Linked DNA regions of Oryza sativa Japonica Group. The protein of the gene in region 3 binds, or shares a complex with, the protein of the main gene of each other region. Links are inferred from orthologs where the notes say so. Each region holds a gene or a part of one and is shown on either strand. Other genes may lie near its edges.

What was found.
Region 1: pheophorbide a oxygenase, chloroplastic-like (region 3) and chlorophyll(ide) b reductase NOL, chloroplastic share a complex: the UniProt entries of both Arabidopsis thaliana proteins name them as parts of the SGR1-CCE-LHCII complex. The link is inferred for Oryza sativa Japonica Group from reciprocal best matches to the Arabidopsis thaliana genes ACD1 and NOL.
Region 2: pheophorbide a oxygenase, chloroplastic-like (region 3) and probable chlorophyll(ide) b reductase NYC1, chloroplastic share a complex: the UniProt entries of both Arabidopsis thaliana proteins name them as parts of the SGR1-CCE-LHCII complex. The link is inferred for Oryza sativa Japonica Group from reciprocal best matches to the Arabidopsis thaliana genes ACD1 and NYC1.
Region 4: pheophorbide a oxygenase, chloroplastic-like (region 3) and pheophytinase, chloroplastic share a complex: the UniProt entries of both Arabidopsis thaliana proteins name them as parts of the SGR1-CCE-LHCII complex. The link is inferred for Oryza sativa Japonica Group from reciprocal best matches to the Arabidopsis thaliana genes ACD1 and PPH.
Region 5: pheophorbide a oxygenase, chloroplastic-like (region 3) and red chlorophyll catabolite reductase 1, chloroplastic share a complex: the UniProt entries of both Arabidopsis thaliana proteins name them as parts of the SGR1-CCE-LHCII complex. The link is inferred for Oryza sativa Japonica Group from reciprocal best matches to the Arabidopsis thaliana genes ACD1 and ACD2.
Region 6: pheophorbide a oxygenase, chloroplastic-like (region 3) and 7-hydroxymethyl chlorophyll a reductase, chloroplastic-like share a complex: the UniProt entries of both Arabidopsis thaliana proteins name them as parts of the SGR1-CCE-LHCII complex. The link is inferred for Oryza sativa Japonica Group from reciprocal best matches to the Arabidopsis thaliana genes ACD1 and HCAR.

Annotation. Positions count from the first base shown.
Region 1 is NC_089037.1:26,388,996-26,393,209, forward strand, and holds the start of chlorophyll(ide) b reductase NOL, chloroplastic, read right to left. Parts: upstream 2,801-4,214; 5' UTR 2,679-2,800; coding exon 2,429-2,678; intron 1,836-2,428; coding exon 1,767-1,835; intron 1,333-1,766; coding exon 1,271-1,332; intron 1,136-1,270; coding exon 1,049-1,135; intron 768-1,048; coding exon 700-767; intron 602-699; coding exon 553-601; intron 454-552; coding exon 368-453; intron 1-367. UniProt on the Arabidopsis thaliana protein: Required for chlorophyll b degradation. Chlorophyll b, chlorophyllide b, pheophorbide b and pheophytin b can be used as substrates. Belongs to the chlorophyll catabolic enzymes (CCEs).
Region 2 is NC_089035.1:7,033,609-7,037,665, reverse strand, and holds the start of probable chlorophyll(ide) b reductase NYC1, chloroplastic, read right to left. Parts: upstream 2,801-4,057; 5' UTR 2,713-2,800; coding exon 2,395-2,712; intron 1,469-2,394; coding exon 1,390-1,468; intron 1,280-1,389; coding exon 1,144-1,279; intron 772-1,143; coding exon 697-771; intron 583-696; coding exon 387-582; intron 201-386; coding exon 132-200; intron 1-131. UniProt on the Arabidopsis thaliana protein: Involved in chlorophyll b degradation. Belongs to the chlorophyll catabolic enzymes (CCEs).
Region 3 is NC_089037.1:2,583,873-2,588,150, forward strand, and holds the start of pheophorbide a oxygenase, chloroplastic-like, read left to right. Parts: upstream 1-1,478; 5' UTR 1,479-1,511; coding exon 1,512-2,282; intron 2,283-2,383; coding exon 2,384-2,619; intron 2,620-2,706; coding exon 2,707-2,833; intron 2,834-3,359; coding exon 3,360-3,496; intron 3,497-3,636; coding exon 3,637-3,796; intron 3,797-3,997; coding exon 3,998-4,276; intron 4,277-4,278. UniProt on the Arabidopsis thaliana protein: Catalyzes the key reaction of chlorophyll catabolism, porphyrin macrocycle cleavage of pheophorbide a (pheide a) to a primary fluorescent catabolite (pFCC). Works in a two-step reaction with red chlorophyll catabolite reductase (RCCR).
Region 4 is NC_089040.1:14,710,846-14,714,898, reverse strand, and holds the start of pheophytinase, chloroplastic, read right to left. Parts: upstream 2,801-4,053; 5' UTR 2,588-2,800; intron 2,243-2,587; 5' UTR 2,215-2,242; coding exon 1,564-2,214; intron 1,136-1,563; coding exon 909-1,135; intron 362-908; coding exon 170-361; intron 89-169; coding exon 1-88. UniProt on the Arabidopsis thaliana protein: Alpha/beta hydrolase dephytylating specifically the Mg-free chlorophyll pigment (pheophytin), yielding pheophorbide. No activity on chlorophyll. Belongs to the chlorophyll catabolic enzymes (CCEs).
Region 5 is NC_089044.1:13,537,302-13,540,948, forward strand, and holds red chlorophyll catabolite reductase 1, chloroplastic, read right to left. Parts: upstream 2,473-3,647; 5' UTR 2,373-2,472; coding exon 2,001-2,372; intron 1,264-2,000; coding exon 646-1,263; 3' UTR 501-645; downstream 1-500. UniProt on the Arabidopsis thaliana protein: Catalyzes the key reaction of chlorophyll catabolism, porphyrin macrocycle cleavage of pheophorbide a (pheide a) to a primary fluorescent catabolite (pFCC).
Region 6 is NC_089038.1:14,944,139-14,948,120, reverse strand, and holds the start of 7-hydroxymethyl chlorophyll a reductase, chloroplastic-like, read right to left. Parts: upstream 2,801-3,982; 5' UTR 2,703-2,800; intron 1,638-2,702; 5' UTR 1,620-1,637; coding exon 1,311-1,619; intron 1,231-1,310; coding exon 1,122-1,230; intron 1,038-1,121; coding exon 953-1,037; intron 857-952; coding exon 815-856; intron 479-814; coding exon 400-478; intron 1-399. UniProt on the Arabidopsis thaliana protein: Probable iron-sulfur flavoprotein that converts 7-hydroxymethyl chlorophyll a to chlorophyll a using ferredoxin as a reducing equivalent. Catalyzes the reduction of a hydroxymethyl group to a methyl group. Belongs to the chlorophyll catabolic enzymes (CCEs).

The DNA.
Region 1 (4,214 bases), about 24 Mb from region 3:
CCACAAAAGCACTAGTTACCAAAATATAATTATATTTAATATCGCTTGATACCCCCAACCCCCCAACGCGCGCGCGCGGGGGCCACCGCAGTGGTGTAATTTTTTCATTTGGTTGAAACTACTGATAACAGTACAGTATATGTCTATATGGAAGCCAAATTCAGCACAGAAACTTATGAGGCACAGTTATGTGGAATCATAGGTACTCTCCTATTAGCAATTAGCAATAAACTAAAAGGACATAATACATGATGTGAAATTTCATAGCTTCATACTGTATGAGAATTCAAACATAATGATATAATGATTGAATTGCACATTGAGTGTCTACATTTTACTACAGAACAGAACAAATGGAAATGCATACCTTGGGGTTGGCCTTCCATCAGAACCAGCACCATCGATGTTAAATATGTGGCCACCTCGAGGTTGGTTTCTCATCATATTTATTGCCTAAGATGGCAAGATGGCAAGAAGATGAATATTTGGAAAATGAATCTTCACAGTTGTTGTAATGAAATTCAGAAAGCTAGTATGAGTTGAAAGAAATACCTCACGACAACATATCATTAATCCAAGAGTGTTAGTTGTGATCACTTCCCTATTAAATCAAAGAAAGAGTGGAGTTTGAATATAGCTTGAAAGCACAATTGAATGTATTTGGTCAAGCCATAAATAAAAAGACAGCATGAAAATTACATGAGAGCCTCGTCGGAGGTCTCGACCAACGGTTTGTAACTATATGCATTTGATCCAGCATTGTTGATCTGTGCCAAAGGAACACAAAGATAAGGAGAAAATCCTGCCTTCTTATGGTTCTAGATTTTACCCAAAAAGATTCAACACTACATAACTGAGTGCTTCAATTAAATTACTGAAGTTTAAATATTCAAAAAGGGTAGCTGAGAAATTTCGAACACTCATGAGTATGTAGTGAGAATCAGCATAACTTTATAGCCAGTGATTTTCATATTTGTACATATGAAAAGAATATAAACATGAGTAAGTTCATGTGCAGATATTTGATGATGATGGGGTGATTATGTACCCAAATATCAATATACTTCATCTTGTCACGTGCAAAATCAACTAGTGCCTTTACATCCTTTCCTTCCCTAACATCACAGACAATTCCCTGCAATAATACAAATAGAAGCAGTTCAGTTGCATAAGTATTATTGCACTGTAAAATTTTCAACAAACATAATTATAAGTGGAGACTCCAATGGCAGTAAAAGTATCAAGTAGCTCAGCAGTAGGAAGTAGGTACCCACACATGTTGCTCTCCAAATTCCTTTTTCAAGTCAGTCACCGCAGATTCTACCCTTTCAGCTGTAGAGGATAGACTGCATGTCAAGGAAAGGCTAAACTGTAACTTGTTTGCTTTTTTTTTTTTCATTCTCTCACTAAAAGTGGGCTCAAGAAAATCCTAGCAATCCATTTGTTTATTCATTTTAAAATTTCATGAAAGATCAATTTAACAGGTCAGTCATATCAAGCAGATGACCCCTATATAGAGCACCTAATGAGCGATAATGAGCATCAAATGACAAAAGCTGGATAGTGCATATTTTAGTGTTAGGTCAATGGATCATCCAAATGAGAAGAGAGGAAAATAAAGAAACAGGTAAACGAGACTTGACCATGCAAATCAATTTGCAATGCATCTTAGGCTCGATAATTTATCCAATTTTATTTATGTCATCACTCAAAAATAATTACTAAAACTAGCGCTACCTATTGAAAGCACAAAATCATTTCTGTACCTGATCTTGAGCAGATTACAACATTATCGCCAGCCTTCAAAAATTCCTTTGCCAGAGCATATCCTATACCTGTTTAAGAGCAAACAAGGGTCATTGAGTTGTACTACAAAGGTTTTTGAAACAAGCTTCCACAAAGGAAGCGTTTAGGAGATATACCTCTACCACCATTGACCAAAAGATCTAATATGTCAGGATTTAAATATTTTTTTACCACAATACAGTATCAAAGCAATTGCTCCACACAGTTTCAAGCTGATTTGCATTGTTTGATTAAAAGGTCAATGCCGAATGCACTGATGTTCTAGTTCATTTTGTCTTCTAAATTGTGTACTAGAAAGTAGGAAATGAACTAATTAAGCAGGTTCTTATGCTGGTAGCGGCACTACCCACTTCCACCCCTACTTCCAAATTGGTGTTGCTCTCTTCTCGGCTACATAAGGCACGAAAAAACAACATCGCCACCACACCACACCCTGACCATCTGAATTATTTCCAACACAAGCATTCAGAATTTCAGAAATATCGATCACCACCAGTTCCTATATGCTCCTACTAAATTGCATCCCAACAAAAAGCATCCACAGACATCCTACTTCTTTCTTGTAAGCAAGATCAAGCATGCGAAGCAACACGACGACGAGGGGGGGAGAACTCAACAACACCTTTCGTGGAACCGGTGATTAGAACATTATACGGGGGCACCATGGCCGCCCTCCGCGCGACCCCTCCACCACCAGGGACAGCCTCCGCGCGGATACCGGCAGCCTCCGGCCCGCCTCTCGCCGCAAGCCGGCGCCGCGCCGTCCGGCCGGGCAACCGCGCCCCAGCAGCGGCCGAGCCCGACGGCCGGAGCGGAGCCAGGCCCACCTGCGCCTGGGCACGGAGCGGGAGGTAGGCGGCGGTGGCCGCCATTGCGGCGGTAGCGAGACGAGGGGAGGGGAGGGGAGGGGAGCGGAGTGGAGAGGCGTCGTCAACTGCGGTGCTCGCCTTGCCGGCTCGCCGTCGCGGAGTCTGGATAACGATTAACGAGCGAGGATTTTAGAAGGGAGGGGGCCTGCGAGTTAAGTACGGATGTTAAGAGGTGGAGGTGGCCCACAAGTCAGTGTGAGCAATCATCCTTTCTCTCTCTCTCTCTTTTAAACTACTAGTAGTATGTACTAGTACTATTTTGCAAGGTTTTTTTAACTATTATATGCATGTGCTTTACAATAGTTTTTTTTTTCGAACGCGCAAAAGAATTGCACGTCAATATATTAGTAGGAAAAGAGTTTTTGTTACACAAAGCAATCAGCCAGATTGGCTTATGCCTAAAGGGGGGACTTGAAGCTAGGAACTACTACGACGGTTAAAAACGTAATTCCAAACAGCGGGAGGGGGCAAAGCCACGCTACACTCCCAATAAATCCCCAAAAAAAGCAACGCCGACTAAAGACCACAGCTGGCCCTCCGAGCGGATGGACTCCAGAACCACTGCGACCGAAGCGAGCGCAGAGTCGAAAACCCTGGAGTTTCGTTCCTTCCACAGCTACCAGGAGACTAGGAATACCTGGAGTCGAAGCTTTACAATAGTTCCTTTTATAATAGTTTCTTTTCCTTTCTTATAGTAACATGCAACGGACTAAACCATATAATTAGGAATTGACTGGATGAGTGAATTGAGAATAAAACATGGGCTAAACCATATATAATTATAAATTGGGAAGAATGTATTGGATCCTATATAGTTACACACCTATGAGAAACACATGATGAGAAGGGGATGAAAGTAAGATGATTATGCTTTGTTCTAGACTCTAACTCTAAACTTCAACTTTTCTCGTTTTTCGTTAGAACATTTCTCAAACTGTTAAAAAGTGTTTTTTTAAAAAAAAATATAGAAGTTTTCTAAAGGATTCAAATGGACCAACTTATCAAATTTATAATAATTAATAATTAATTAATTATGGGTTAATTGCTTGCTTCGGTTTTTATGCTGCTTAGAAACTCAGTTAGTTGCTTGGCTTTGAGCAGGGTGTTTCAGTTTTACAGGTAAGGAACACTTGGGATTTATGGACTGTAGTGTTAGTGCATACTTGATTCATAAGTTAGACAAAGGGAAAATGTGGCTACTGGGAAGAAACGCCACCCTTCTCTTGTTGCATCTGGGGTAGTGATTACACGTGTCCTGGTAGTAATTAGTAGTACTACGATCGATATGTTGCCGTTGCTTCTGCACTAGTGATACTATTAAGTCTCGATCAGTTCGTCGCTGTCACCATGCCACTCTCGCGGTGAGCGTTGCTTGCTGGTTTGCACATGCTGGCTGTACATCGCATATACTCCCAACCAAATTAATTGTAGTATCCTTGTGCACTGCATTTGCAGAGCATAATATTCTGTCTTGATCTGCATAAGTTCGTCCTCAGCCTCAGTAAACTCTTTGCATACACAACCTGACAATCACTTCAT
Region 2 (4,057 bases), on a different chromosome or scaffold from region 3:
AATAATGTTGTTTAGGCTAAGCAGAAAGAAAAATAAGATGAAATAACTAAGTCAGGTTGCATGACGAATATAGTTCTATGAACTCTATTAGAATGGAAAAGACTCTGATTTTCCGAAGATAATTAACGTACCTGAGAAATATCTTCATCTGAAAAGTTTACCAGTGGCCTAAAACCTTTGTTTGTGCCAGCGTTATTTATCTATACATAAGAATAAGAAGAATAGCACATGTTAAGTACATTCTGCGATGCCACAGTACAGAACAAAATAAAAAGGTTATAAGTACAAAAACTTGTGCACTCAATCCAAGTATCCAACTGAGTACCCTACCGTGAAATAATGCAGAATAAATGATGGGGATAGATATGTAAAAGTAAATTATTTACCCAAATATCAATTGATCCAAGCTCATCCTTGGCAAAGTTCACCAACTTTTTCACATCTTCTGGTTTACAAACATCACATGATGTACCAACAACCTTGGCATGTAGCAAAATTTCTCTCTGTTTCTTTTTCGCAACTGACAAGCCCTCCTGTATGTTCTCTTCAAGCTCGTTGATGGTCTGAAGGACTGATTCAGGGCTGCCTTCAAAAAATAGGATATTTAAAACTAGGACAACGCATTGCATTTCATAAAAAGAATATCATGGATATGCAACAACAACACACATTGAGCTACATGTCTATGAGTACCACCTGCGTGAAGCAATTACAACACGATCTCCAGAAAGAAGGAACTCCCGAGCAAGTGCTTTCCCTAATCCTCTTGTGCTGCCAAAATCAAACTATAACTTCAATGTTGATTGCAGAACATGGATACTAATAAGAAATCAGCTCACAATTGATGCAATGAGAAGTCATGTTTATATTAACATGTTTATGAGGTTACTTTAATGATTTGTTCATATGACTGCACCTCATAATCTCCTCTATGCACCAACCCGTATAAACTTGGTGATTGTTATGGTTATACTCCACTCATCAAATAAGAAAATAGAGAATAATAGAAGGTGAAATAGTATTTCCTATCTAGGAATAAATTCATTAGTTTTGATTATTACCTTTGACCTGTACTCACAGTATGCATGCTTCCTAGCAAAAGATTCAGATGGCATGTGAAAGGAAGAATGCAAAATGGGTTACCTTCCAGTTATGACAACATTGCGAGGTCCAGCTTTGCAGTGTTCCTCTAGGACACTGTTTGCACCTATCATCGTGCCAATAATTACTCCCCCGAGCCAACTATACCAAATTAGTGTATTCATTTGGCTGTCTCCGCCTAAATAGAAAGGTAGCTAGGTCATTACTGAAACTCTGAAAATGCCCATTGTAGGGAAAAAAACAGAAGTATCCAAAGGCAATGCAATATATCAAATGAATGTAACTAACCTGATAACTGAAATCCAACTCCAAGTACAACACCGCTGCTCATCATAGTGATAACATATCGGCCTACTTGCGTAGCAACCTGAAAAGGAGAAGGAAATAAGTCAATTTGAAAAAAAGAACACCTATTTCAGAAAAGGAGTTGATCCTACAACTCAGTAGTGATAAATTCAGAACCACTCTGTTCAGGTTTGCAACAAATAGAAAATTACTGATGTGCTTAGGTTAGAGAATCAGCCGATACCGGAGATTTTATTTATATCAATACAAAGAATCAGCATGCCTAGGAAGCAATTCAATTGAACTATAAAGCAGGCCTGTGCATGCACTTACAGTCGGACATGTAAAACCATGAGCCTGGCAGCCCATGCCCCCCATACAATGGTAGATGCAAGAACCAGAGAATCTAGGCCCATATAAATGAGGGGCGAAGTAAATTTAATCAAGAGCGAGTTTCAAAGAAGTTTAAAATAGTTTCAAAAGCAACAAAGGCTACACAAAATGACACCTCTGGCTACGAGCCGCATCCTCTGCCCAGGCAAATTGCTTCACAGGCCTGCGATTAATTTTAGCGCAGGCAGAATTTGCTCTCCAGCACATAAACATAAAGGGAACTGACATTACAGAATTTCACAGTAACTGGAGCCTACTGTATTACTAGTAAGAAACAAGCTGATTAGTGTTGATCAGCTCATCGATTTGTGCCACAGCTAGTGTATTGGATCCTAACACCCATTGAAACAACATAGATCGCCTAAACTCACTTGTAGCTGTAGCATCTGATGGGTGCAATTCCCATATGCAGCTAAGCAAGAGCTGATTAAGGTAGTAGCGCTCGCTAACGCATTGAGTGGTTGAGCCTCCCGATACGTGGCAACAATTAAAGGCAGTCGTACTAGTAGATCACACGATCAGATGAAAAAATCGGCCATAAACATATTATCATATTATCATGTAGAGAAACTGCGCTTGCGGGGGAGCTTGAGGGGGTTCAGGAATGGAGCTCACCGAGAAGAAGATCTCCTCGGCCTTCTCGACGGCGCGCTGGTACTCGCCCCCGTACGCCTCCGCGGCCGCCGACCGCGACCCGGCGAGCCCCTGAATCGCCGCCTTCAGCTTGTACAGCGGGCCCTTCCTGCGCCTCCGCGCCTCGGCCGTCGTCGGCGGCGGCGGCGACGACGAAGCCTCCTCCCCGCCGTTATCGGCCTCCTGCTTGAACGCGCGGCACCGGAGCAGCGACGGGCGGTGGTATGGCCGGGCGTGGAGCTCCGGCGAGCGGCGGAGGCGGCCGTGCACGGAGAGGTGGACCACCGCGGCGGCGGCCATGGCGTCGCCGCGAGCGGATAAGGATTTCGCACTCCGGCGTCCTACGCTTTTTTGTGGGGTTGGGTTCCTTGGTTTTAGGAGAGGGCGTGTGCTCACCACTTCACCATCGGTTAAATAATGCGTACGGCTTGGTGAAATACCCTTGGGAAGTTTCGAAATTACGTTCAGGTCCAAATCCATCGGGTTAAACTGAACCATAATTATGATTTGAGATATAAGTCATTCCTAATTTCGTTCCCAAAATTTATCTACCTCTAATTTCAACATTATACTCCCTCCATTTTTTAATAGATGAAGCCGTTGATTTTTTTCTCACATATTTGACCATTCGTCTTATTTAAAAATTTTATGCAAATGTATAAGATATAAATCACACTTAAAGTACTATGAGTGATAAAACAACTCATAACAAAATAAATTATAATTACGTAAATGTTTTGAATAAGACGAATGGTCAAACATGTGAGAAAAAGTCTAACGGTGTTATCTATTTAAAAAATGGAGGTAGTATGTCGTTGTCGTCAAGAAATTATTGGCACGACAGCGTTAATTTTACTATCATGCTGCACGTTTTAATTTTAGTTTGGCAAGAGGATTAGACAAGTGTTCGGACGAGTGACTGGGTGAGGACAAAAAAAGATCTAGGTTGCGGGGAAGGCGCAAGCACAAAGACGAGGTGGCCACACGTTGAAGCAACCTCATCCCCGCCGGCGCCACGCGCCACGTGGCCGCAGCGGGCCGCCTCGTCGGCGTCCTCCTCGTCGTCGCTTTGCTTTAGCTTTTTGGGGTCGCCCTCCTCTCTCTGCCTCCCCCAAACCAACCCCTCGCTGTCCCAGATGGAGCGTGAGCAAAACCGAGGATATTTTCGTTGTCACCGTCCGGAAATATCTCCGCACGGTAACAACAGGTAGTAACTCGATCAACCTCGTCGTCGTCGTCGACGGTAACTACTAACTCGCTGGAAATCGATCTCTCAAGGCGGGCGCGCGCGGCAGCCAAATCGCAGAGGAGTGGAGTACGTGTGTTTCAGGTAAATCAGCCGTGCGAATGCCTCCCGTGCGCGCGATGCGAGCGATCGTGCTTGCTGCTGCGTGCACGGAATGCTTGGCACGCACACGCAACTGAGCTGACCCGGACGGGTCAGTGGCCCCCGCGTGTCGAGTGTTGACGCGTAGGAGGTGTGGTCATTACTGGTGGAACAGTTGAACGTACAGGTGATTTGTCTGGCCGTATGTAAGCTGAGGAATTCTTTATGCGTGCACTCAACCGCTTGCTAGTGTAGTAGCACTCTCTGACTGCTGGATAATGACGACGAGGGGAGAGCCAGGGCCAAGGAGTGTTTGAG
Region 3 (4,278 bases):
CTGACCAGTAACAGGTCAGGTAGCTAGCTATCTAAAGTCAGCGCTGTACTAATGCCAAAGCTCTCTCAGAGTTAGCATCAAAGCCACACACTTGTGATGGATCTCAATCTCCCCATCTAGGTTTGCACTAAAGCTCAGGAGGGAACGAAAAAAAGAAAGAAAAATTGCCCCCATTGCTGTCGAGCTATCTGCAGGGAATAGCTTGGCTTTGGTTTGGTGAAGATTTACCGATCGGCGCCGGCGGCGAGGAGGATTTTGTGGAGATTGCAGGGGGGGGGGGGGGGGGGGGGAGGGGGTCTAGGAGTATTCCTTCACCAAGTCAGCAAGCCCATGGTCAGTTGGTCACACTCCAAGCTCTACATGTTCGAGGACATTTACATTGGGCAGGTGGATTGCAGCCTTATGATGATTATTGTTTTGTGCTTCTACCATCTTGTGGCTAGCATATGACAACAATGGACTGCAAGATTGCAAGGTGAGGCTTCATGGCATCTGTTAACCTCGAGCTTAAGTAGCGCATCGCAGTGGGAGGCCAAAGGTTGAGCACGACGATGGGCAGAGGACGAGGTTAAGCAAGGTGCATACCTCCGGTGCAACTTGCAACCATGGTAAAAATATGAGGCCCAACATGCAATTTACTCATAAATAAATGCCATAGTAGTATCAAACGGTTCTGGATCACAAAGTGCACTGATGGGGCGCGGGCGGTCAAAGTTCCGTACACTGCCTGTTCATGTCCACGGCGCCGAACTGCCGAAGTGAACCCAGAATCCAATGGGCGGACCGGCTCCCACAAGCCGGTTGGGTTCGTGTCATTCTCACGAGTGAGTAGAGGTGGCCAAACGGGCGGCCCGGCCCGGCACGGCACGGGCACGGGTCCGGCACGGCCCGTTTCGGCACGGCCCGTTAGGCATGGCTCATGAAACGGGCCGTGCCGTCCCGACCCACGTGCCGAGCCGCCGGCCCAAGCACGGCCCGTGGATGGCCGGGCCGTGCCCGTGCCGGCACGGCATGCGTGTGGCCCGCCGTGTCAGTACGGGCCCGTGAATGAAAAATGGGCCGTGGACGGGGCACGGTTGGCCCAGGAACCGAAATGGCGCGGAGGGATGCGATGCGGACTTGCGGAGGTGGCTGGCGGGCTGGGCCATCAGCTAGGAGGGGTGCTCAACGGACTTGCGGAGGCGGCTAGCGGGCTGGGCCGTCAGTTGGGAGGGATGAGATACGGACTTGCGGAAGGATGAGATGCGGACTTACTACAGTAGCCGTGCCGTGCCGTGCCGGCCCGCGGGCTCGGCCGGCGGCCCAAGCACGGCACGGCTACTCGTGCTGTGCCGGCACGGCCCGTTACTGTAGCAGGCCGTGCCGGGCCGTGCCGGCTACAGGTTCCGCCGTGCCTCGGGCCGCCCGTTTTGGCCCGGCCCGTTTGGCCACCTCTACGAGTGAGTATACCCAGGGAAGTTGGCCGCCGCTGCGTAGCCGAAGCTCCACCACACGACACCCCGCAAAACGCCATGCGTGCTCCTGCTGCACACTTGTCCCCCGCCTCCTCCGCCGTGCCGTCACGCAACCACGGACTCCTCCTCCACCTCCGTTTCCTACTCTCTTCTTCAGTTTCTCACCTCTCCGCACGAGAAAATTCGAATCCCCCTTCCGGCTGCTGGTTTTCGTGCCAGAAACAGGCGATTTTACCAGTGCCAGTTAGCTCTCGCCTTCCTCCTCCTCCATCGTGCTACTACTCTGTTCTTCTGGAAGAACACTGGTCTCCTCGCCTACCTCAGTCACCACTCACCACACCAGGTGCGAGCTATAAAAACCGGCACGCCAAAAATCTTCAAAACCACACAGAAACCTCAGATCTCCGAGGCTTCCCAAGCGAGTCGACGAAAATGCCCGTGATGGCTCCGACCGCATCTCTTCTCCTCTCCCCGAGGCCGCTGCCGGCGAGCCGCCGGGTCCCCTCGCTCCCGGCGCTCTCGGCTTCCGGTCGCCTGCGCCTCCGCCGCGCCCGCGCCGACACACGGCTCCGCGTGGCGGCGCCGCCGTCCGTCCCCGGGGAGGCGGACCAGGCGCCCGGGGAGACCGAGCCGAGCACGTCGTCGGCCGACGAGAAGTTCGTGTGGAGGGACCACTGGTACCCCGTGTCCCTCGTCGAGGACCTCGACCCCAGCGTGCCCACCCCGTTCCAGCTCCTCAACCGCGACCTCGTCATCTGGAAGGACCCAAAATCCGGCGAGTGGGTCGCCCTCGACGACCGTTGCCCCCATCGCCTCGCGCCCCTCTCGGTATGAGTATCGCCACGCGCCCTTCCAATCTCTTCCTCTTTTGCGCCAATTTTGATCCGATTGAATTCACGGCGATGATCTGGATGTCTGTGTGTTCGTAGGAGGGGCGGATCGATGAGACGGGGTGCTTGCAGTGCTCATACCACGGCTGGTCATTCGATGGCTCCGGCGCGTGCACCCGGATCCCGCAGGCGGCGCCCGAGGGGCCGGAGGCCAAGGCTGTGAGGTCGCCGAAGGCGTGCGCGATCAAGTTCCCCACCCTCGTCTCGCAAGGGCTGCTCTTCGTGTGGCCCGACGAGAATGGGTGGGAGAAGGCCACGGCTACCAAGCCTCCGATGTGCGTGTATATTCTGGATTAGTGGTTTATTGATTGAGTTTGGTTAAGGTCGTCGGTGACGAGGTTTGATCCTGTTTTTGATTCCAGGTTACCGAAGGAGTTTGAGGATCCTGCGTTCTCCACGGTGACCATCCAGAGGGATCTGTACTATGGCTATGATACATTGATGGAGAACGTCTCTGATCCGTCGCATATAGAATTTGCTCACCACAAGGTAATGCTACATTTTTTATTTGAGAATGATCAGTTACTTTAATGTACTGGCACGCAATGCTAGTCCTGGATATTGCACATTTGAGATATGAGGATGGTTTGTTGTGTACCGTACTTGCACATCATACCTCAATTTGGTTTTAGTAGTTCTATTTTTGGTTGAATCTCTTAACAGTGGCTTCTGGTGGACTATGATTGCCAATGTTTTGTTTTGAACTGCCTGTTGCACCTTGATATGAAAATGTAGCTGCAGCATCGTTCAGTCTCTTTACTTAAGCTACTGGCTAGTGCTAAAATTGAATAATACTTACTTAATCGAGGCTACTGTATTAACTGTCTGTTATGGATTCATGGTACATGGACTAGAGGTATGATTCATTATCTAAGATGCACTTTCAGTAAATCCACAACTTAGACCATTTGTCTTCCCTTCATTATTCATGGAGCAAAAGTACGATTCCCATGGCCAAAGAAATTGGTTAACTAGGCAGCATTATCCTTGCCTCAAAATTTAACTCCTCTCACAGGTCACTGGTCGAAGAGATCGAGCCAGGCCTTTGCCATTCAAGATGGAATCAAGTGGTGCATGGGGATATTCAGGGTCAAATTCTGGAAACCCTCGCATCAGTGCAACTTTTGTGGCCCCTTGCTATGCACTGAACAAGTATGTTCAGCAAAACACTCTAATCATGCCTTTTCCCATTTCATTGCATTTGCCTTTTGATGTGAATTAGCTCATATATCAGTTTCACATCCAGTAACTCCACTTATGATTCTGATCTTTTAGTATTTCGTTTTTTGTAGAATTGAGATAGACACAAAGTTACCCATTTTTGGAGATCAGAAATGGGTCATATGGATTTGCTCTTTCAACATTCCAATGGCCCCAGGGAAGACTCGTTCTATAGTTTGTAGTGCTCGGAACTTTTTCCAGTTTAGCATGCCAGGAAAAGCATGGTGGCAGGTATCTGCAATTTTTGTAGCTCTCTCTATTTACCTCCTTTTCAATCTACTTGTTAGTGCCCTTTTTAGGAAAACAGCAGTAAAGATCCCCGCTCTATTAAAAATTAGAGTGAATTTTATGCTCTCATTATATCCGAAAGTATAAAGTAAAACCCTGAATCCCCTGTTCTTATACATTTGCTTCTTTGTGTATGTGATGCAGCTTGTCCCTCGATGGTATGAGCATTGGACTTCAAATTTGGTCTATGATGGTGATATGATAGTTCTGCAAGGGCAAGAGAAGATTTTCTTGTCTGCATCGAAGGAGTCTTCTGCAGATATTAATCAGCAGTACACAAAGATCACGTTTACACCCACGCAGGCTGACCGTTTTGTTTTGGCATTCCGGGCATGGCTAAGGAAATTTGGTAACAGCCAACCTGACTGGTTTGGAAATCCTAGCCAAGAAGTGTTGCCTTCCACTGTCCTTTCAAAGCGTGAGGT
Region 4 (4,053 bases), on a different chromosome or scaffold from region 3:
CTGTTTCACTTTAATACCCCAAATAGGTCTAACCCAAGGATCTTCTCTCCCATACATAAGAGATATGGGAATACCCTGCCTTTGGCACCTGCAGATTATGAAATGTAAAAATACAAAATCGTATTTTGTAAGCAACATGGCAATTCATCAAATAGTATATCCAGTTTACCTAGATAGAGCTTCTTCGAAGGATATTTGTCCCTTTGGAGCACACATAATGGATGCAAATGATGCAGCAGCTGCTGGATGTTGTGTTGTCTCTATAATACGCGAGAACACCATGTCCACATTCGTTGAGTGGTCAGCATATACTTGCTTGAGTATGCCCTGTATACTTCTTGGATCACTTATTTTCTGCCACCTGCACCAAAAAGATATTAAATGAGATCCACCAAATTTATATCACCACATGGATAACTTGCATAGTTCTAAATGATGCAGGGACCACACAATTGCTATTGAATAACAGCTTGTTTAATCTGTTAAAACACCAATACATTGCACAGCCTACCATCCTAACATGAGAGAGGAATGACAATGTAAAAGGAAAAATAATGGCAGAAAATGACATACAGAAATATACTTTATATCTAGGTGTGATTTTATAAAAAAACACGTTTTTTTTTTGAAAAAACAATTATTAGCTATACTTATAGTACCATATGCAAACTAAACATAGTCTAAATCGTTTCTTCACTGGTGAAGTATGCAATCAATTTCTGTCAAAACAAAAGGTAGCAATCTACAGATGCTATGCCTTGCTACAAGTATCATAAAACTTTTGCATTCCATGCATTCATTATAATGAAAAAAAATAGTACACCAATAATTAGCAGAAGGGATAAATTTAAGATTATTCAATATCAATATGCACATGTGTTTCCCAAAACCTAAAGGGTAGCACATACACTGTTTCAGTAAGTTTCCTCACAAACGATGGAAGTGGAAATGTCCCAGCCCATGGAAAAATCTTCGACAAGCGAGGAGATGTAGCAGGGTTGGGAAGGAATCCCCAAAATGGGGTTGCATTAAGTAATGTGACACCCTTTACAAGGTGTGGACAGGATGCAGCAAGATATAGAGAAACAAAACCTCCCAGAGAGTTCCCCACAATATATACTGGTTCACCAATAACCTGAAAGAAGGTTACAAAATTAGCATAAGAAACATATGATATGAATCTCATGGTAGGACTGTTATGGATAAGTAAACTTAAGAACTTTGGCATTACACATAATAACACAAATGTCAAACCTGCTATATGAGATTGGGAACAGGGCTCCTTTGCTCTCTATTCTAGATACTGGAATAAAAGAATGTGTTACAAGTGTGTGTGCCAAAAAACAGGGCACCTGCTTTGGGCAACATAACGGTTCTTATATTCTATTAACCGAATATGAAACGCTGAAGTTTGTGAGATTCAAGAATCTTCAATAACTAATAAATAGCTATTATTGCAGGCCCTTCAAAGAGTGCAAAGCATACTAGGATTTGTGAACTAAAGATGATATTTTTTTAGCAAAGTAAACATAAAACTACACAGAAAATAGTTGAAAGAAGTACCTCTTCAATAAAATGCTGAACTTGGTCACGCCACAAATCTATCGAATACACCAACTCCTCCGCCCATGGTTGTAATTCTTGTCCAAAACCCCAATATGTGTCCTCATCTAGCTCTCCTGATGTGCTCTTAGGAGCAGGATCTTCACATGGCAACGACATGCCCTGCCCTAGAAAATCCATTGTCCATACTTTGTAATCACGGCCAAGATCCTTCAATTGCTTCTCAAAATGGAACGTTCCCACTCCAAAACCTGGTAGAAAGAGCACAGACGGTGCCTTGCTATTGTCTATGCCAGACTTTTCATAATATACACTCAGCTTCGGCTTCCATTCCCAGAAACCAGTACTAATTAGAGAGCTTTCAGGTCCTTCTGGCAAGCTCGGAATGATCATCTTCTCGATCTCACCGACTTTCTTCGGGATCCCTTGGAGAGCTGCATCGACATCACTTACATAGAACCCATGGCTCGCATGAACTTTCCCAGAATCAGCAGGATTCGAAGCTGTCCCTGACCGCACACAAAGAATTGCACTTCTTGGCCGAGTGAGCTTTGCATGCCCTGGACCAAGACCATTCCCCGGAAACCTCCAAGCACTGCTAGGTGTTCGGTTAAATGCCAAGCAGGAGTGGCTGGAAGAAACCACTTCCATGGCCACACTAGTGGCTAGCACGCTAGTTCTGCAACAGATAAACCGAAAGATACGTTTAAAAGAGCGAACTCGAAAAACTGAAACCAAGAACTATCAGCCTTCAGATTAATTTGATCGGGAGAACCGAAACCAAAATTTTAACTGTATCAAACAGATGGGTTAAGTTCTCGAGAATAAAACTAATCTACACAGCGAAAATGAGCTTCGACCAGCCAGCAAACCAATTCCAAATCCAGCAATTCATGCGAAACCCGGGAACTGTTCCCCGCACGAGTAGTACACACATGCCAGGGAGTCCCCAGGAAGAAAAAAAGACATAGCAAACACCTAATTACAGATTACTCTCTCCTAGTGAGAAATCGGTGAATCATACCTGAAAATCGACACCTATTTCTCAGGTGATTTGGAGAAGAACACTTCGCAAAAACTAAACTAGTAGAACTGCGAGCTCAGAACGGAGAGGGAGCGGGCAGCTGAGCTCGCTTATAGGGCGCGAGATGCGATGGGGAGGGGCGGAGGTGGGAACCACCGCGCAGCGAGACGGTTCCTCCGGCGACCTCGTGGTCTCGCTTGCCCATGCGTGCACGTCATCCTCGGGTGGACGAGAGGAGTGGAGGAGGCGAGCCCAACGCTGCGCGGGGGCCAGCACGTGGACATCGTCCACCGTGAGCCAGCGAGCCAAGGCCAAGATCCGCCTCCACCCGGTCTGCCGGACTAGCGTAAGCACGTGTCGAACTCGGGCTTCGAGACAATGATGGAACTACTATGGAGGAAGGGGCAGGCCCGGTCGGTTCGTTTGTTGTGCGGCCTGGTAGTTAGGAGAGGTTTGCAAGCAAACGCGCGGAAAATGACCGGGATTTTGGCCGTTTTGCGGAGAATTCCAGGTATTGACGGCAGCGCGTTTACTACGCGATGCACATTGGGTAGTATTGGATATTTTGCAGACTCGTCGTACGAATTCAGAGCCATTTTATCGGGGAGAGAAACGCGTGGTAAAATTCGAGTATTTGCTTCCGTGCTCCCGACGGGTAGAAGGAATTGAGCCATGTTATCTAGCGAATATAGCGGAGGAGAATTGCAGCCGTCTAAAAAAATGAAAGCTTCCAGATGGAGGAAAAAAAAGAAGGAAGAAGAGAGAAATTATTAAATCCCATGAATAAGACTATCAGATTTGACGTCGTAAGTGTTGGGTACGCTCAGATATCCACCACCTTAGCACCAACCGATCCAGAGGACAGATGTTGTTGGACCTACTTCTCTGCTTAGATCTGGGTGTCCCGACGCTTGCCATGCCATCCATGTGTAAGAAGAGATGGCGGTGGTAGAGAGCAAGGAGAAGAGGTCGAATCGGGCCATTTGATTAGCTACAACATCATGTGGTTTTAGCTAAAGTTATTAGGAGGCTTAAGCCATGTTTAGAAACATTAGTACACTATTGGGATAATTAATGCTTCATCTATAATTAATTATGGCCATTTAATAATAGCTCACAATGATTAATCATTATTAGTTAATTAATCTTAACAACTAAAACCATATTCATGGTAGGTTGTGAGCATATGGTTTTGATGGTCGTGCTCATGACAATTAAGGACTGGTTCACGAGCTACTATTGTGAAGCACTAATTGTACTAACCACAAGCCAACATGGGTAATAGCTAGGTTTGTAGTATAATACATTCAACAGGAGACACCAAGGTATGTTGTTGTTCTTTTATCGTGGCAGACAATAAGTCCACAAGTGGTAGGCAATTAAGTGCTGGGTTTGTGGTATGCTTTCTCATTCATTCATTGTCTCAAGTGTACAATAGTGAGACTCCTCCCTCTATTTATAGGCAT
Region 5 (3,647 bases), on a different chromosome or scaffold from region 3:
AATTGTGTATTTCAACCGAAAAGAGAAGGCAAAAACAACTCTCCAAAAAACTTGGAGTTTATGTTTTGTGCCATGTGTGCTTCTAGAGCTGCGAGTAGCTGTAGGGAGCCAGGATTAGTATGGCTGGTAGTTAGTGAATTTCTGATTGATAGCATTTCAATTTTGTCATAAACTGGTGCGTTGATCTATGAAATTAGGCAGTTAGATTCATCGCAAATTTTTAATGGGATGAGAATATGTAAACACGGTATGTAAAGTTATCCATTAACTAGTAATACATTTGTAAAATAAAATAATTGACTGTCCTTTCTCTTTAAGAAATTGAGGAAACCACCCGTGAAATCAGTTTACTGGTACTTATAAATTATATTATCTTTTTGGGCACTTTCTTTTAATGAGGGCATCGATGTATCTCTAGAGGAGGCCGAGATTTGGGTTGAAACGGCTAGAGTAAAAAATCGGCATGAAAACCAACACTACATTGGTTTGTATAATTGTATAGACAAAATTATGACATCTGATGGTATTTGCAATTATAAATTTATAATCACACAATATATCTGATTGTTCAAGCAAAAGGGACAAAAGACTACTAACATTACTTTCGAATGATGTACAGATGAATTCCTGGTCACAGTTCTAAAGCTAGGCCTCTTGTACCCCAAAGGCCTTCTGGATTTCAGCTATGACTCGGTCTGCGACATCGGGACCAAACATCCTCGGCAAATTTGAAGTCAGGTCGACCTCGATTGACTTGGACCTTACAATTTGGTCCCTCTTTATCATGTTTTCTCTCTCGCCTTCTTCCATCTCTGAAGTATGATCAGCACAACTATCAAGCCAAATTTGAAGAAGTGCCCTAGCAGCTGTTGCTAGTTGACCACGCACTATCTCTTCCAAGGTACCCTCTCCTCCTTGCCCACAGTCGATGCTCATCAGTATTGCTGTCAGTGAGAAGGTGCTGCGCACGAAGAGGGATCGCGATCGGTATGGACGGGCCTGCGGCAATTCTTCGACCTTCTCACGCTGTTTGTCCACCTGAGTATTCTCATAGTATCTCTCTATGTATTCGGGATGGAGCGCAAGGTCTTTCCGTGGGAGAAGGTCCAGAAGCACCACGATCGAAGTTGGGCTACCTTGTATAAATTCCATGAGGAAATGCGGAGCATCTGTCGAGGCGTTCAGAAAGATGAGAAGAGATGTAATGTCGATTGCGCCATTTGGGACTTTGCAGTGTAGTGAGGACTGGAGCATGAAATCAATCTGTAGACAAGAAAAATTAATAATTTAACTCCATTTGTCATTCCTTGCAGAACTCAAGAAATTCTACCACGCTAAGCTACTGAGCACTAGGGAGCATAATTCAGGTGTTCAAGTGGTGAGATTAGTTTCATAATTTGAATGCTGTTGATCATTTTGGCCACTCCAATTGTGTCCGTTCAGTTGGAGTGATTTTGTTTTTTTGTTTTTGGAGAGGAAACAAAATCTGTGAGTGATAGGAAGAATCACGAATGAGGTACAAACTCTAGAACAGACCAATTGTTTCCATTTCGATATTGGAAGCAAATGAACTAATTTGAGCATTGCCAATATAATGAAAAGTCATAATTTGCTCCGAAGAGTTGGATTATGGATCTTGGCTTCTAAAAGTTTGCAAGTTCACCTTGATAGGGCAAATCACAAATAGTTCGGCAGCAATTTTTCAGTGTAAAACAGTTTCAGTAAATTGTCCAAGTCTTTTGACATGCCATTGATCTATTCTGCTCTGTTTGTGCCAGCCTGTTTTTACCAGTTTACCACTACCATTTCACTACTTAATTAGTTAATTCATATGATTCACTACTTAATTCATATGACTGATTCTGATGGTGCTCTAGACATTACCAGTTTACCACTACCATTTCACTAATTCATATGACTGATTCTGATGTTCTCCAATCGACAGAACAGGTAAATCTGTACGATCTGACGAGCAAAAGTGAGAGGAGGGGTGCCATTACCGTCGATCCCGGCGCGCCGCGGCGCACGTCGAGCGAGCCCACGGCGTTCCCGGCGCCGCCGCCGCTGCGGAACTCGGCGACGTCGGGCGGCACGGCGGAGGGGAGCAGCCGCGCGCCCAGCCGCGCCTCCGCCAGGGACGCGAGCGCCCGCGCCACCTCCCGGTGCGCCACCTCCACCATCACCTCCGGCTCCGTCGCGCCCGGCGCCGCCGCCGACGACGCGCGCACGGCGCTCGACGTTTTGCCCCCGAGCTGGGAACCCGCGCCGCGGCGGCGGCGGCGGAGGGGGAGGAGGCGAGGAGCGAGGGTCGGGAAGGAGACGGCGGAGGACGGCGAGCTGGTCGCCGGCGGCGGCGAGCGGAGTTGGAGCATTGGATCACGGCGAGGTGTTCGACGCGTGGACGAACGGAGCGAGAGATGAATGTGAGCGAGAGGGAGTGAGAAGGATTCCGTGAACGTGTAGAACTATCCCTCTTTTACTTTTGTAACTAGTGCAGTATATACATAGGAGATGATTGAAAGAGAGATCTGAAAGCTGCTGTTACAAATCCATCAGATTCCAAGACATTATCTATTGCAATTTGCAAATGCCTTGTTTTTTTTACGGACACTGCATTACTGAAATGTGAGATAATGCCAATTGAGGTGGTATTTGGGAATCACAAAAATGACTAGTTTAGTCCCTCCTTCGCAAACACCACATGAGTTGGTTTTTTTCTTTTATACTTCCTCCGTTTCAGGTTATAAGACTTTCTAGCATTCCCTATATTCATATAAATGTTAATGAATCTAGACACATATATATCTAGATTTATTAACATATATATGAATGTGGGTAATGTTAGAAAATCTTATAATATAAAACGGAGGAAGTACCATGCTAATGACTGGGCAGCTCACCATGTAGCGCATAAGCTTGGGAACCGAGGTGATACTTATGCCCTATTCTTTTCTCCAATAAAAGTTGGATAAACTTTTGGATACTCGTGACACGTTTTTCAAACTGCTAAACGATACGTTTCGTGGGAAAACTTTTTATATGAAAGTTGTTCTAAAATATCATATTAATCCATTTTTCAAGTTTGTAATAATTAAAACTTAATTAATCATATATTATTACTACATCGTTTTGCGTGAAACACTTAATCTTCATCTTTATATTTATCTTCAGGAGATTAAACACACCACCTAAACCTTAATACACTTGAGGCCATCTGCTACTGCTGATCACTCACTGCTGTTGCTGCTTATCGCTCCATGGGCCAAGGCCCAAAGCTCACAAAAGGCCAGATGCTGCACACTAGCTTTCTTCCTCAGTCCACTAGCTCTTCATTTTCCTTTTTCCCCCCTCTAATTATTGTGGGGGCCATATTACTGAAGGAGAATTCGAAACATCTTGAATCTTCTCAGAGAGCTTGAGAGTGAAATGAGTGGGCCGGCCAAAGAAGACCACTATGGAAGTGAAAGGGGAGGGCAAGAGCGGTTCGAAGGTCAATGAAATGGGTTCAGTTCCCTTGTCAAATAGGGGCCCCGACCCATGTTCAATCACTGAAGTGTGGTTGAGTGAGATGATCCGCAACCAACAAATGATTTGTCATTGTCTCTAAATCACTGAATGAATTCGTTTTTTATTTATATATGAGAACT
Region 6 (3,982 bases), on a different chromosome or scaffold from region 3:
TTTGACAGAGTTAGTCAGGAAGATAGAGTATGGACCAACTATCATGTCATATTGTCATCATATCATTATGGTCTTGATTGTAGAATCTAATAGCCTAAATTGGACTTTGTTTTGCCTTTAGAGTCACTACTGGAATGACATTAAGTAAAATTTGATCTTGTAGGTTGAATAGAACAACATTAGTTCTGATTCCTTTGAAACCAAACTAAATTCGAATTGCCTAGAAAGGGGATGAGGTAAAAATGCTCTGGAAAAAATGACTCCAAGTTCATGTCCAAGGCAAAAGATATCTGCCGTAATCACCCATATGCCTGTATAGGTTTTGAAGGGCAGGGGACAAGACACAGGAGCTAGTGACCCAAAAAAAGGATGCATAGTGTGCACAAGAGATAGATTTACCTCAACCAACGCAAGCGTATTGAGATTAGGTGATAATGTTGGCTTCACACCTTTGGCTGCAATAACTTCATCTGGCGTCCTACGAGATAATAGTTGATCAATCAAATTTTGCTTCAATTCTAGCAAGCATGAGCAGCACAAGTAGTTAATCAGTAGACTGGAAGCAAGGTTTTTACTTTTGAGTGATTCTATGGTCCTTGAGGAGATACCGAGAGGTACCTCATCTTCTATCACAGATATTGGGAAGTGCCAAAATTTATACTACAAAATGTGGTATCTCATGTTACCTCCTCATGGACCATAAAACCATATAAGTGTAAAATGCAAATGTACTTTAAGTAAGAAGTTGTAAGCACAAGCCATATGAAAAAAAAAAAAATCTGAAGTAGCAAGCAACCATTGTCTTAGTACCTACCTGGCTAAAACAGGCATTGGAGCAAGCCTGTCATCTGGGTCACTGCAGAGGAGACAAACAACAGTTTTCTCAAGACCATGAAAAAAATCCTTTTGCAACGGAAAGCAATTATGTAATATTTGATTGTTGTTTAGGTGCCTTTGTACACAAACCACAGCATCAACCATATTTGCCTTTAGCATCTCAACCGCAATCGTTGTCACTATTCCTGTCCATTGGGCTCCTGCACAAATTACTTGGCCATTAATTAGCATATATGTAACCACAATCTTGTGGCCTAGAAAAAAATGGTGGATAAGGAGCAAACCTTCAACAGGTTTCATCTTCCTGGCATATAGGAGTTGCTCATACACTCCGAAGTACATCTCATCCATGTCTTGCTTCCTGCCCCTCCCATGGACCAATGGCTCCAAATCCTACTTAAATGTGATTTGGTAAGCTAGCTAGCTTGAAAGAAATAACGCATGCATGAAGGAAGGAAAGACTAGCATGATACCTCGACACGGGACATGCCATCTCCTAGGAATGCGCAGGCATTCTTGACATGCGCAATGTAGTAGGTGTCACAAAGCCCACATTGGCTGCAGTGGTCCTTGGCTGGGTAGACGCCACCAGGAGGGATGGCCTTGGATCTCTCCCTCCAATCCTCCCGCAGCGCCCTAATTGACCCGCAACTCGTTTTCCTACCTCGGCATTGATGAGAGGACGGAGACGAGGGTAAGACAGAGGACACTGAGCAGCAGGGCGGTTTTGTGGCACATGGCAAGGACGAGGAGGTAGACAGGAAGGAGATGCACCGCGCCATGGATATTGAATAGTCAGCCTGCATGTGAAATTCACGTGGAAATATGATAATCTACCGAATGAATTAATCTACAGAATGAATTAACAACCTGCATAAAAGTACTAAACATTTTTCAAGTGTGACTTTCTAAAATTACAATGATGCACGCTACCATATAATTATTTCTAATCCTGTAGGGCAAAGGATTTTTTTTTTTGGATGAAAATAGGAGAAAGGAACTTCTACCAATGCAAGTGAATATCTGTCTCATTCCTCTTCCTCAGGCTCAGATTCTCCCCACCCACACCATCTTTCCCACCCTCAGTCCTCTCCTCTACCGCTGCACCCACTCCACCGACATACCACCCTCGCATCTTAACAGCACCATAGTCATCTAAAACCACCACTGTCTGTATATATATGATGCTATGAAGTAACCTACTTTCTTCTTCTTGTTGCTATATAGAAGGGATGAAAAAAAGAAAAACGCTCATTTAACTGGCTAGGTAGCTATTCAATCTTCCCAAGTGCTGTATGGAAGATCTTGTGTTAACTCCCTATTTATTCTCTAGTATAAGTCGCGTAGATGCTGCCCGAAACTCACCTAAGCCATCAAACAAGTTTGCATCTAACCTGAATCGATGGCTGGCATTCATCTACAAATCTACGATGTCCCATACGGGGTACTTGTCGCCCTATTTCAAGTGACATGCAACAGATGCACAGTGCATTGCCTAAACCAAGAAAATCTATTTTGGTGGATAATATATATGGGAAATCTCATCCTTACAAGCACCATCATACGTTCTTATATAGTTATACGGTCCATAAACCATATCATCAACCAGTGGTTCAACATATCAGCTCCAGGTACCCTAGGTACCAGCCGTGCTAACGCTAGAGCCAGGGGCGGATCCAACTTGGGAATTTTGGGGGAACAAACAAACAAACTGTTACTACTTGTATTAAGAGAGGCTAAGGCTCTGAAATTAACGAGGAGAAGAGAGCTTCTTCCAGATCTAGAAGAGAAGCTAGGGTTAACGAACGAACGCAAGCAAATTCCAGTCCCGGTGGGAGAGAGAGATGAATCAGAAAGAGGCTCACCAGGATCCCCTCCCCTCCCCTGCTCTGCTCTGCTCGTCACCTCCCCTCCCCTGTTCAGCCGCGACTCGTCTTGGCGCAACGAGCGGAGGAGACGAGACGGGAGATTCTTTCTTTTACGCTACCTTTATCTCAACATTTTTCCTTATGATGACGAGTGGGCCACGTATTAGCAATACTATGAAAAAAAAATAAATTACTCAACTCGATTAGGGATTATGTCGAGAACAAACTCTTCGTACCACCAGCAATTACTAAGGCCCCGTTTGGCACAGCTCTACCTCCCAACTTCAACTTATCTGGAGCTGGAGCTGTGCCAAACGGTCCAAATCCTCCGTTTTTCAGAGCAGAGTTAACAGAGCTACTCCACAAATTTGTACTAGGGGTGGAGCTGAGTTTTTGCTACTCTACAGCTCCACTTCACCCCAAAAGACCCACTACCCTTTAATTTTTAGCCTATTTTCACAAAAATGCCACCCAACTACCCCTCCACACCTCCTCTCCCCCATTCTCTCTCATCCTCCCATCCCCCTCCCGATCTGCATCGGCGGGTGGCGGCGACTGCGTCGGCAGCGTTGGCAGGAGCCAGCGGCAGCGGGCGAGCGTCGACGGCGAGTGGCGGGCGACGACAGCGTGGGCGGCAGCGGTGACGACGAGTGGCGGGTGACGACAGCGTCTGCGGCACGGGCGACAGCGGCAGCGGGCGACAGTAGCAAAGACAACGTCAGCGGGGCGACGGCGAGCGACGGCTACATCGGCGGCGGCGGGCGACGGCAGCATCGGCGGCGGCCGGGACAACGACGGGCGGTGCGCCCGGGACGGCGCATGGGCGGTGCGTGGCCAGCGGTCGGCGGCGCGCCTGGGGATGGCCAGCGACTGGGTTTTCTTTTTTTATTATTATTTTTTTTATTTTTTTCAGATTTATAGCTGAAAGCTAGCCAAACACTTTTCAACAAGTCTCTAACTCCAATCAGAGCTAGCTCTCACTGGAGTTGGAGTTTAGAGTAAAAATAGGAGTTGGAGTTTGGAGCCCTACCAAACGGGGCCTAATTATCATTCCACGCATCGCCACCAACCGCTCTTTCTCCATAAGCCACTATCGTTCCTCCTCTTCGTCTTTGCATGCACAGTCGCACCCTCCAGTTACCGACATGTATTTTCTCCTCCCCCATCGTCATGCACACTATTATCACAGTTGCCATTGAGGTCAGGGTGTCGAGCTTACTAACTCAGGAGGCACGAGCCGACCCAACGAAGAGCGGAGACGCTAGATCCGTGCTCCT